2 linked regions of the Drosophila melanogaster genome follow. The protein of the gene in region 1 interacts with the protein of each later gene in a pairwise test. Each region holds a gene or a part of one and is shown on either strand. Other genes may lie near its edges.

Evidence for each region. The genes of interacting proteins can lie anywhere in the genome.
Region 2: the proteins of RpL22-like (region 1) and Sap30 interact in a two-hybrid assay, tested with the Drosophila melanogaster proteins (one large-scale study listed by BioGRID).

The regions. Positions count from the first base shown.
Region 1 is NT_033778.4:23,245,159-23,250,572, reverse strand, and holds RpL22-like (ribosomal protein L22-like), read left to right. Parts: upstream 1-2,679; 5' UTR 2,680-2,795; intron 2,796-2,847; 5' UTR 2,848-2,849; coding exon 2,850-3,788; 3' UTR 3,789-3,963; downstream 3,964-5,414.
Region 2 is NC_004354.4:16,785,307-16,791,108, forward strand, and holds Sap30 (SIN3-associated polypeptide 30), read left to right. Parts: upstream 1-1,976; 5' UTR 1,977-2,234; intron 2,235-2,378; 5' UTR 2,379-2,643; coding exon 2,644-3,036; intron 3,037-3,260; coding exon 3,261-3,389; 3' UTR 3,390-4,338; downstream 4,339-5,802. Other genes in the region: CG9609 (uncharacterized protein), read right to left, coding at 173-1,198, 1,259-1,444; Rrp45, read right to left, coding at 4,371-4,411, 4,467-5,207, 5,368-5,802. UniProt on the Drosophila melanogaster protein: Component of the class 1 Sin3A-histone deacetylase (HDAC1/Rpd3) complex (HDAC). Appears to be a non-essential subunit of this complex which is not required for cell cycle regulation of progression through the G2 phase of the cell cycle.

The DNA of each region.
Region 1 (5,414 bases):
CCGTTCCCCTTCCCTTGCTCCAAACGCAAAAGAGTTGCGAAAGGCCTTTCCATAAATAAACAATTAGGTCTCGCCACCCGCAACCGACTTTCCATTCTGCAACTTCAAACTCCGACAATCCTGACTTACTGGCTCACAATGGGCGGGCTTTCCCGCTTTTCCCGCCTTCTTGCCGCTAATTGACTCGCACTCGCCCAATTAGAACTCGTAAGCGGGCACGCTTTGCCCATTTGAATTTATATTGGAAATTAATTTAATTAATAGAGCGCCTGGAACGGGAAAGGAATCGGATGTAGTGTGGGTGTGGAGTCACCTACCAGGTGTTGTATCCAGTTCCCAGTTTCCCTGGGCTATCGCAGCGGGAAGTGTCAAACAGTCAACTCAATAACTGTTTATTTTGGCTGGCACATTGCCAATTTTGGCCTGGCTGAGTCAGTTGGTAATCGTTTCGCCTTATTTTTTTGGCCAACTAGAGCACTCGTATATTGTGGCTGGTAGATTGGCAACTCTTTTCTGCTGGGCCATGCATTTGCATTTTCTATCTCAATTGGCGGTTTGCATTTCATTAGCCTGAGCAGTTTCGTTAAGCTTGCCAATTTATGGCAATAAAGGTGTTAAGAGCTTGGTAAGATCTATTCGAATGGTATTTTATTGGTATTGGTTTGGGACCACCCATGGGACCCATTAATTCAGCCACAAATAAACATTTTCCTAGGCAGAAAACGGATTCTAGATGCAAAAATATCGAAAAATATTAATAACCCATATATTAATCTGTTAGTTTACATATGTATCATAGATCATTTTAATTGGCACGCAAATTCCCGGTATAAATCAGACCATTTTAAAAGCATTTTCCGCCCCTTCACTCTACATGACTGCCGTCTGGACTCCTCGCAAGATCGTGCTGCCTGCCTGCCCACCTGATGTCGAAGTGATCGATGTCCCTGGACAGCCGTTGCCATCCATAACGAGGCAAACTCCCAGGCCAAAGACGCCTCCGCACTGCCAATCCCATTTTCCGCTTTCCATCCGCCCATTTGCTACCGTTTAGCCAGATTGATTTCGGGCCAGAAGCCGCACGACTCCGCCGATCATTCCTCCCACTTTTCGCAGGGGGCGGAGGGCCGTCACGCCCACCGTTGCAGTTTTCCCATCGCCCAATCGCCAATGCCGGGCCCATCAATCAACTTCGAGTGCTCGCAGTGAGCGGGAGGTACTCCACTTGCTTCTACCTGCCTCCGAATCTCTGCATCTCCGAATCCGCGAGGAGGACGCGGCAAGAGGCTGCGCCTGGGAGCGCTTTTGGTTGTAAAAATCGTTTCGGCATCATTTTTCATATCCGCAACCGAAACAAAACCGCCAAAAAAAAAAAGAACCAAAACTACCAGAAAACAATATCCAGTCGGCGGCTGGGAAATCGAGTAGCATCCTAACTGCAGGAGCTTCATGCGGCGTTGGAAAAACAGTGGTACGTACCCGAAATACCCTAGGGTTGACTTCTCCAATCTCTATTGCGAGTATGGAAAGGTCATATAAATGTACCAAAGTCGCCCTAAATCTCACTCTTTTGGTTTCTTCTTTTATTATAAACAATTTAGGATGATCCAAAGTCCATTTGAATAGTAATACCCTCTGTTAGGGTATGAGAAGGTGGATAGATGGGCTTGGGTTATGTTTCGGTGGCCAGGGGTGCGTATACGTGATCGCTGCATTTCTTTGGACGTTCCGCGACGCTTTGTTTGCGCTGCCATCGACACCCCTGTCCCGCCCCTCCTGCCATCCTTTTTAAGCCTTGTTTGCTCTTGGCAGTGGCAAGCGAAAGAGACGGCTGCAACGAGACAGAAAGAGACAGCACGAGGGAGAAGGTTTCGATGTAGCGCGAATTTGTTGCAATTTCTCATTGTCAGCGAACGCGTTCGCCGGTAAGTTTTGATTAAACGCTCCGCGGGAATTCACTTTGGCTTGCACTTTTTGCTTTTGTTTTTATTTTTTATTTTTCCTGCCGATAGGAGGTGGCATCTCCCATCCACAATCCCAAATCCCAGTTGGTGGCCAACTCTTTCATTTGAATTTGATAAATGGCGCTCGTTGCAAAGCGATATGTTATGCAATTTAGGGATTTCCTTGTGGCTTAAAAAATATTGAAGCGATAGCTAAATGTTTGTACAACTCGGAAATAAATGAACTGGCCGACAAAGAGAGTGGAAGGTGATGACACTTTAAACAGGCTTTCGGAATTCAATTTGCCTAGCATTGGGAAAAGTTGAGCTATCTCTGTGGATTCATGTGGATTCCACTTTGGTAACTTATCTCGAACCTGTGTGCGCAAGTTTAAATCGATTTCGATCCACCACAATACCCTATAATAAAAGAGCTTAAAAGGGAGCTGGTATAATATGAAAACTACAAATTACTGAGGCCGAACTGGAGGCGAGACGACAAACAAGGCCAAATTGATCCCCGGCTGACAAGCGGTAATAATAATTTCGTGCCAATTAATCAGCGTTAAATCAGAGCGTCAACATCCCAACCTGCTCCACACTCATTTCTCGTGATTTCACTTAAAGATTTCCTGTTTTTTTTTCACAAACATGCCGCCCAAGATAATCGAATAATTGGCATTCGCATTCTACGTAAGCACAGTCGATTGTGAGCAAGGTCACACGGATCGCAAATGCAGTTACTTTCTGATTGTTGCTACACTTGGCCACTCTAATTCTTTTCCTGCCAAACTTCAACGGAGGAAGTCACGTGGTGTTTCTAAACCTATTTTTGATACTAATTTCTTTGGAGTAAGTTAATTGTTTCAAAATTTTAGGCGTGTGCTCATGTTTTGCCATATAGGAATGAGTTCCCAGACGCAGAAAAAGAATGCTTCCAAGGCCAAATCGAAGGCGGGCCCACAGCCGTCGAAGAAAGCCCCGGCTAAGGTGACTCCTGTAGAAACCGCCACCCCATCTGCGGCTCCGCCTTTGTCCTCTAAAAAGGTGGCCAAAGCTCCGGCCGTGGCACTAAAGAATCTCGATTTGGCCATGAAAGAATCGGCTAAGAAGGCCGCCGAAGCTGCTGACCAGAAGTTGGTCTCGAAGGCGAAGAAAGGCCAGAATGCTTCACGCAAGAACTTGATGCAAGTGCCGGAACCCGTTGCCCCTGAGGTGGACAATAAGAAAAAGTCTGCGCCTCCTAAACGTGGCAATGCGGAAATACCCACGGTTGTCCCCGCCAAAAAGGCCGCCCTGGTGCAAGAAAAGCCCAAGGAACAAGCTGCCGCAGCACCAAAAGCCGAAAATGTCGAGGTTCCAGCAGCCAAAGCTAAAAGTGTAAAAAAGAGCCTCGCCACTCCGGCAAATCCGAAGCCCAAGCCGAAACGCACGAAGAATGTTCTGCGTGGAAAAAGGCTGGCCAAAAAGAAGGCTTGGCAACGCTTTGTGATCGACTGCGCATGCGTGGCCGAGGATATGATCCTGGACCTCGCCGACTTCGAGCAGTATTTGAAGACCCACATCAAGATAAAGAACAAGCTCAACCAGCTGAAGGATCAGGTCACTTTCGAGCGCACCAAGAACTTCTCGCTGATCATCCACTCCGGTGTGCACTTCTCCAAGCGCTACTTCAAGTATCTGACCAAACGGTATTTGAAGAAGGTCAGCCTGCGTGATTGGTTGCGGGTAGTGTCCACGGCCAAGGACACCTTCGCCATGACCTACTTTAAGATTCAGGACAAGGACTTTGATGACGACGACGACGACGTTGCCGACGACAATGGCGGAAAAACCTTTGCCTAAAACAAAGATCGCATTTCGAAAACATGTATATCCCATGAAAGCTGTTCAAGTGTGTAGACTTCTTAAATTTCTCAGTATACTTCTGTTAAATTTCCCACTTGAAGTTTCACTAGTTCTCAATGTGGCTCATACAATTTTTGCTCATTTGCTTCAACATATTCAACGATGAAATATCAATAAAAAAAAAAAAAACCCTAACAAGAGTATATCATATATGTATGTATTCTCATCCGAAGCTGCAGAGTTCCCTTGAAGAACTTAAAGATTTCATTTTACGGTCAGTTAGGAGGAAGGAGCGGAGCGTTCCTCGGTCGAATCGACTTAAACTTGAACGATTGACATCTCGGAGAGGGCCTCGAGTGGCATTCGTCATGTTTTGATTGGGAGGAGCCAGTCTTGTTTTCCTTACCTTTTTACGCTTTTGTAAATACCTTAAATTGCCCCATTGGACGGGATTGTGTTCGATGCCAGGCGGCTTAATTGCTTCGCTGTGGGTCTGCCAAATGGACGAAACCATGGGTGGGGATCAGAGGGTGCTCCTCTGTCAGCAGTTGGCCCGGCCTGGCCGTAGGTGGTCCATAACGAGCTAATGAAATGCGAATCCAGCCAAAATGCGAACAGCGAGGCAGCCCAGTGGAGTGAGTCAGGCAGGCAGCTGTCAAAATCGAAATCAACCTGAGCACTCGCAGGTTGGCTTCTTTTCGACTTGGCCAAAAGAACACAAAGGCTGGGCAAAATATTCACGATTGCCGCCTGGAAGGGAATACAAAGCGAAAATAAACATAAACGTCATGCAAATCGTATGGTAATTGCTGTCATCGCCGACTCTTGTCAAAACGGGTTGAAGTGTTTTGTAAATGCCAGAAAAAATTAAATTCCAGACATGCAGACGAGTACCAATAATAATAATAATAATGTAATAAGGGGCTTGCGATGGGGGGGAAGTCAAGAGTGATCCACACGCGATTATTATTTTGTCAAATGGGAAAACGATATCGGGCCAAAGCAGAGAGAGAACAGCCTCTGTCAAAAGCCAATTGGCCATTGGTAATTGGAATAGGCCTGACATCCAATGGTGATTAAAGTTAATTGAACTAACACCCATAGTTGATAGATGATGGCGTTCTTTGTCAAACCGAATATACCAACGTAAAAAATACTTTAGCATGTGTTAATTAGCATTAACGCTATTTTATTTAATTAATAGTGCACATTTGTATGATGTATTTCACTCCCTTGAAGAGCCACTTTTTGCAGCAAATAGAGCTGGCATTAAAACAAGTATTAATTTTGAACCCTGTGTCAGGGCCTTATTAATTTGAAAGCAAATCCCTTGTGACATGGAATATGAACCGTGCAATCAAGTTGGCTTTTAATTGTGCGTCAAACATTCAGATCCAGAATCTTGGTAATAGGCTCAAATCCACTCCGATTCTAGGTAGGTTGATCCCTGTTCCTGCTTAGGCTAATTAACACATCGATTACATCGTTGCGCGGACAGTGTGTGTCTTTAAATTGATAGGCTCGTTAAAGTGTCTACCATTCCGAGGCCTTCTGGTCTTGACTTCGCCAACTGGTTGGATCTATTTTTAGGGCCAGCAGGTGCAGCTGCCTCGGAAACTGCGC
Region 2 (5,802 bases), on another chromosome or scaffold:
AATTTATGCAAATTAATGCAATTTCGGATGTTTCTGAACGCAAATCCTAAGTATTTACTGATAAATTAGTTGTTTCTCTTTTAGAAGTTGTGGTTTAAATTAAAGTAGTCATTCAATTGTTAGCCTCTTGACCAGACCTTCTCACTCCCGTCCCTTTGAATGGCCTTTTGCTCTACTCCTGCTCCTTTTCCTCTTCATCCTGCAGGGTCTGTGCCAGCAGCTCCTCGACGGGGTCATCCTTCAGCGACTGGGTGATCTTTTCGAGGACCAAAGGCTGTCGCTCGCGCACCGCCTCATCATCTTCCTTGTCCAATTGCAGGCAGGCCAGTTTGGATAGCCTCGAATGTTTGCTGCGTCCAGCATCGCGTCGTCGCTTGCGGGATGTGGACTTAGTTTTGCCCCCTTCTCCAGTCTTACTCTTGTCCTTCTTCTTGGCTTTCAATTCCTTTTTCGTCGCACCATCTTTGTGATCCCTGAGCAGATGTCTCGCCAGATTCTGCGCACTGCTGAAACAGCGGCCGCAGTCCAAGGCCTGGCACTCGAAACGCCTGCCCGAGTGGGCGGTGAGCATGTGCTGGCGTAGATTCCTGAGGTACGAGTAACTCTTGCCGCATCCCTCCTCGTTGCAGGTGAAGGAGGTGGCGCACTCATCCGTCTGCGCCGCCTCCTTGTGCTTCACCTCGAGGTGACGCTTCAGTTCGCTCGGCTTGTCGAAGGCACTATCGCAGCGGTCGCACTTATGGCGATTCTTGCCGTGCAACGAGTCGCGACAATGCTTCGTATACAACGTCCATTTGTCGAACTGCAGCGGGCAGCCGGGACACTCGTACAGCTTGCAGCTGGGCTCGTGACTCTGGCACTGCCACTGCTGGTAGAAGCCGCGCGAGCACTTCGAGCAGCTGTACGGATACTCCAGCGTGTGCTCCCTGATCTCGTGGCGCTTCAGCTTGAGCTTTTGCGAGAATTTGGCACTGCACTGGCTGCACGGATAGACCTTTGGGCTCTCGTGGGTTTCGCGCATGTGGCGGGTCATGTTGCTAACCGAGATGAACATCTTGCTGCACTCCTCCAGCGCGCACTTCACCGTCTTCTTGGCCGCCGACTCCGGACGCTCGTGGGTGCTGCGCAGATGCCTCTTTAAGTGCGTCACAATCGAGTACGTCTTGTCGCAACCCTCGTACGAGCAGGCGTGCTTCTTCTGCAAAGTGGTGGCGGCGTTACTACTGGCTTACACTTAACATACTCTAACTATACTCACAATCCCTGTGTGATGATACTCATGGCGATCCAATTGGTCCAGCCGCTTGAATGTGGCCTCGCATTTGGGCATGCTGCACGCGTACTTGGCCGAGCCGATGCTGTTGCGGCGTCCCTGGCGCTGCTTGAACTCCTCCAGAGCGGTCTCCATATCGCTGTCGCTGGCAATTTGCGTTCCAGGCGGCATTTTTGAGGGTTTTTATCTCCGAAATATTGCAATCTCTTTTTTTTTTGTGTTTTAGGTTACCGCGACATCCGCAAATGTCGTGGAATTATTTGGCCACACTCGTGTACGTGGAAATAGCCAAGGACTTAAGGTTGAAGAGATTGATTTTATTTCAATTTGGTGTAGCAAATCTATAACTTATAGGTTTCTTTTAATTTGGTGTAGAAAATCGATGATGTCCCTGGTAAGCGTTTATGATTTCGTTTTTGGAGAGATGGTAGATTTTTTGGTATTTTTCCAGGGCTGGAAATTGCTGCCTAGCAGTGTTGTACTGCAACAACTGAATAAGATGTACGATACGTTATCGAAAACGTTACATTGGTCACATTATTATTCATTTATTCAAAATATAATTGTCACATACGTTATAGCTAAGATTTTTTTTAATGTGCCTGGGAAAAGTTTGCAGTAACCCCGTTGTTTATTTGCAGAAAATTCTGCGTATTCCTTTTCCCAGTCTTTTTGAATGATTCTGTTTAATTCTCCAACTCACTACGGTGAAAATTCCTTGCGTCGATGCATTTAACAAATATATGCTTGTTAGTCCCCCGTCTCAGAAACTACAATCAAGAATTGGTCTGAAGACGAGTATAATAATATTCTATATAGACAAGCAGTCAGATACGCCTGAGAAAAAGGAAATTCAAATTTCATTGCACTAACGTGAGCTAGTGATGACAAAAACGGTAATTGGCTCAACTATCGTACCGGTGTGCGGTACCTATCGGAATTGGAATCAATGCTGGAAAAGGTAACTATATTTTGGTACACGGTATTTTTAAATTTAAGTACTGAAATTAACTAATATTTATTTAATTAATATTTTGTGCGATTATTAATACCAATTAAAAAATATTGATCGATAATCTGGAAAAAAATGCACTTGATATTTAAGATATTTGAGAAACTGCAAACAGTTTCAAATTGTCCGCTCTTGCCAGCTGCGGAGGAATTTCCCCATTTCCCAGTTTGGTCACATCGCGCTGTCGAAAGAAAATTTTTTTCTTGCAAAGAGAAACAAAGCAAAGCAATAGTCGAAAGTGAGAAAGACGAAAGAGGAGACAAAGGAGCGAAACGGAGAAAATCAGAGAAGCAGCAAGCAGAGCAGGAAGGGGGATTGGATAGGAACTCGAAAGCAATCGGCCAGGATCGGGAACAGGATGAACAACGGATTCAGCACCGGCGAGGAGGACAGTCGCGGGCACACGGACCAAACGTGCTGCCTAATCGACGACATGGAGCGGTGTCGCAACCAGGCTGGCTACGCCAGCTACTCCAAGCGCATCCAGAAGACGGTGGCCCAAAAGCGGCTCAAGCTCAGCAGCGATCCGGCCGCGCAGCACATTTACATCTGTGACCACCACAAGGAGCGCATCCAGTCGGTGCGCACCAAGCGTCGGCGCAAGGACAGCGAGGACGACAGCAACGAGACGGACACGGACCTGCACGAGTTCCCCGATCTCTACCAGCTGGGCGTGAGCACGCTGCGACGCTACAAGCGCCACTTCAAGGTCCAAACGAGGCAGGGCATGAAGCGGGCGCAGCTGGCGGATGTAAGTTTGACCTAGTTAACGAATTGAGCAGGCTATGTCCACTTTCTGTTGCCGGATTTCAGTGGGGTAACACGCTGGTCTAATGTGCTCCGTGATGCTCCATAGTTGGCCCTCTTGTAGTAGCCTCCACTCTAAAGAAAAGGCAGAAAAATGTGCCATGCCCTTTATAAGGTTTTCTAAACCCTGTTTTAATCAAGTTGCAAACCTCTACTCTTCTCCCGCAGACAATTATGAAACACTTCAAGACAATACCCATCAAGGAGAAGGAGATCATCACATTCTTCGTGTACATGGTGAAGATGGGCTCGAATAAGCTGGACCAGAAGAACGGCCTTGGCAACGACACCACCTGAAGGCGCGTCGGCGGGCGGAGGGAGGAGGAGGACGCCGACGACGTCTACTCCTTTTAACGCTGGCCAACTGCCGATCAAAAGAAATTAACAACCAAACTTCTCACATTGTTGCTGCATTTGCTGGACGTCGGCATTGTTGACCAGAATAGGGATGAACGAGAATATTGATAGTGCAATGGCTCATCCTCATCCGTGTGACCCCCAAGAAACCCAATCCTATACCCATAAGCCACCACTGCCCAAACCCTTAAGCCTTTCCCCCGACTCCCCGGAACACAAGTAATATGCGAAAAGTAAAACAGCAATGAAAGAACGTAAGGAAGAAGGCAACTGGTGCTCCCACGAAAAACAAAACAAACAAAAATTAAAAATAAATAAACTAGTATGTTGCGAAAGTGAGTCTAATATTAAAAAAGAAATTTACAAAAACTATTTGTAGCCTTGGTCCGTTGTTAATAGCTCTTTATACACGCACTACATTAAATAAACTATGTAAATTTACAAGAGAATTAACAGAAAACACAACACACTCAATCAAATAGCAATTCGTATTCTTAGGCTTAAAGACATGTTTATTTGATCGTTTGTATTATACATCATGTTAAGTGAAGTGGGGCTCTGGCTAGACATCAGTTAGTAGTAACCAGATACTTTAAGCGAATCAAAACACAATTAGACTTCAATGTGAAAGCAAATTGAATCCGGAAGCCAATACCAATTATCGCTACAAACAGAGAAATAACGAACGAAATAATTTGCAATATTTAAACTAAAACATCGTGTCGTTTGCCCCGGCGGTTTGGAGATATATTTAGAGCTCTAGTTTAAGCCTAACTTAGACGAACATCGGTTCCACAAATCAATTGGAATTACGCATTAAACGATTTATGTTAAAGCCTAGACTGATTTTAGCCATACATATAAGCCTAAATAAAACTTAATAGAAAGCATTTTCTCTTAACTACACGACTATCACAACGGCTAGATGTATCGCTTGGCTTCCTCCTCGGAGTCGCTGTGATCTGGAGAAGAATCAATGCGTTATTAATGGGACTCCAGCCATGATTGCCAACTTACTTTGCTTCCTCGGCGGTGTCTTTTTGTTCGCCTTGTATTTGCCGCGACTTTGTTTGCCTTTAAGGCCTGCCTTCGATGGGCTTGCTTCCGAGCGCATGGGCAGTTCCTGGGAGTCCTCATCGTGTGGCAGCCAGTCGCTGGTGTCCATCGGTGCGCCAGCACTTTCCTCTTTGGACGGCTCTTCGTTGGCCACAGGCGTCTCACTGCTCTCGTTATTATCCAACTGCATTTTCTCGCTTGGCGGAGGTTGCTGCTCCTGTTTCTGTCTGCCCATCAGTTTGTTGTAGCTCAACTTGTGCTCCGTATTTAAAATCAGTGCCACCAGCCCATCGACCGATTGATCGCCCTGCGATCGACACTCTTCGTCCAGCGCCAAAGCTTTGCGTACGAAATTCAACAGAGACTTGCAACGAACCGCCGCATTGCGGGCACACTGCATGATGATGCGGGCATTTGTGGGTGCAGTGCCTCCGGCAGTCAGGCTGCACAGCTCCTGGAAGGAGTTAAAGCTCAGGACAATTACCGAATCGGCGGCGTTCTCCTCCAGCAGCGTAGGATCCAGTATTGGTTGCACACTGCTCTTGTAAACACAGTAGGTTACACTGACGGGATAGTGGTGGAAAAGCAGTGGAATGAATTCGCGCTCCTTTTTCTTAAAGATGCGCAGTTCGCCGTCCTTATACCAGACATCCGGTCGACGGAAGTGCATCAATGCAGCCAAAGTGGCTATGGTGCTGGCGTCTATAAGAAAGAATTGAGATATATAGATATATAAAAATATAAAACTAATATGAAGATTATTCTTTAAAAATGAAAGTATGGCCAAAGTATGGCTCCAACTGATAGCTTTTGATCATTTGTGAGGTAATCACGCTTTTCATCTTGAGATTGGTGCTTTTACCATACAGATTCCCGTCGTGATTGAGCACATTGACGTTGACACGGATGCACCACACATGCTTCTCGACGGCCACGCACAGAGATTCCAGATCGATGCTTCTAGAGCTGCGGAAGGTCCTCTCGAGCAGGGAGTTCAGTTTTAGCGATCGCTGGTCATGTGTGGTATGCGCCTCGTCCAGAAAAGCAACACCGCCAAGATATACGTTCAGGTGGATTTTGCCTTCGTTGGGCCGCGACAAGGCCGGCGGTCCCATTTCGCAGGTCACTTGGGCCAGTACCTTCGTATCGCCCATGGACACCGCCACGGAGCCCCAATCCTTGCCGAAGGTCAGCTCCACATCGCGGGACTCGTTGGAGCGCCGCCCATCGAGGCGTTGGTTTTGCTTCACCGCCAATTGGACGAAGCTTCGCTCTGGCTTCGATTTGCCCGGCTCGA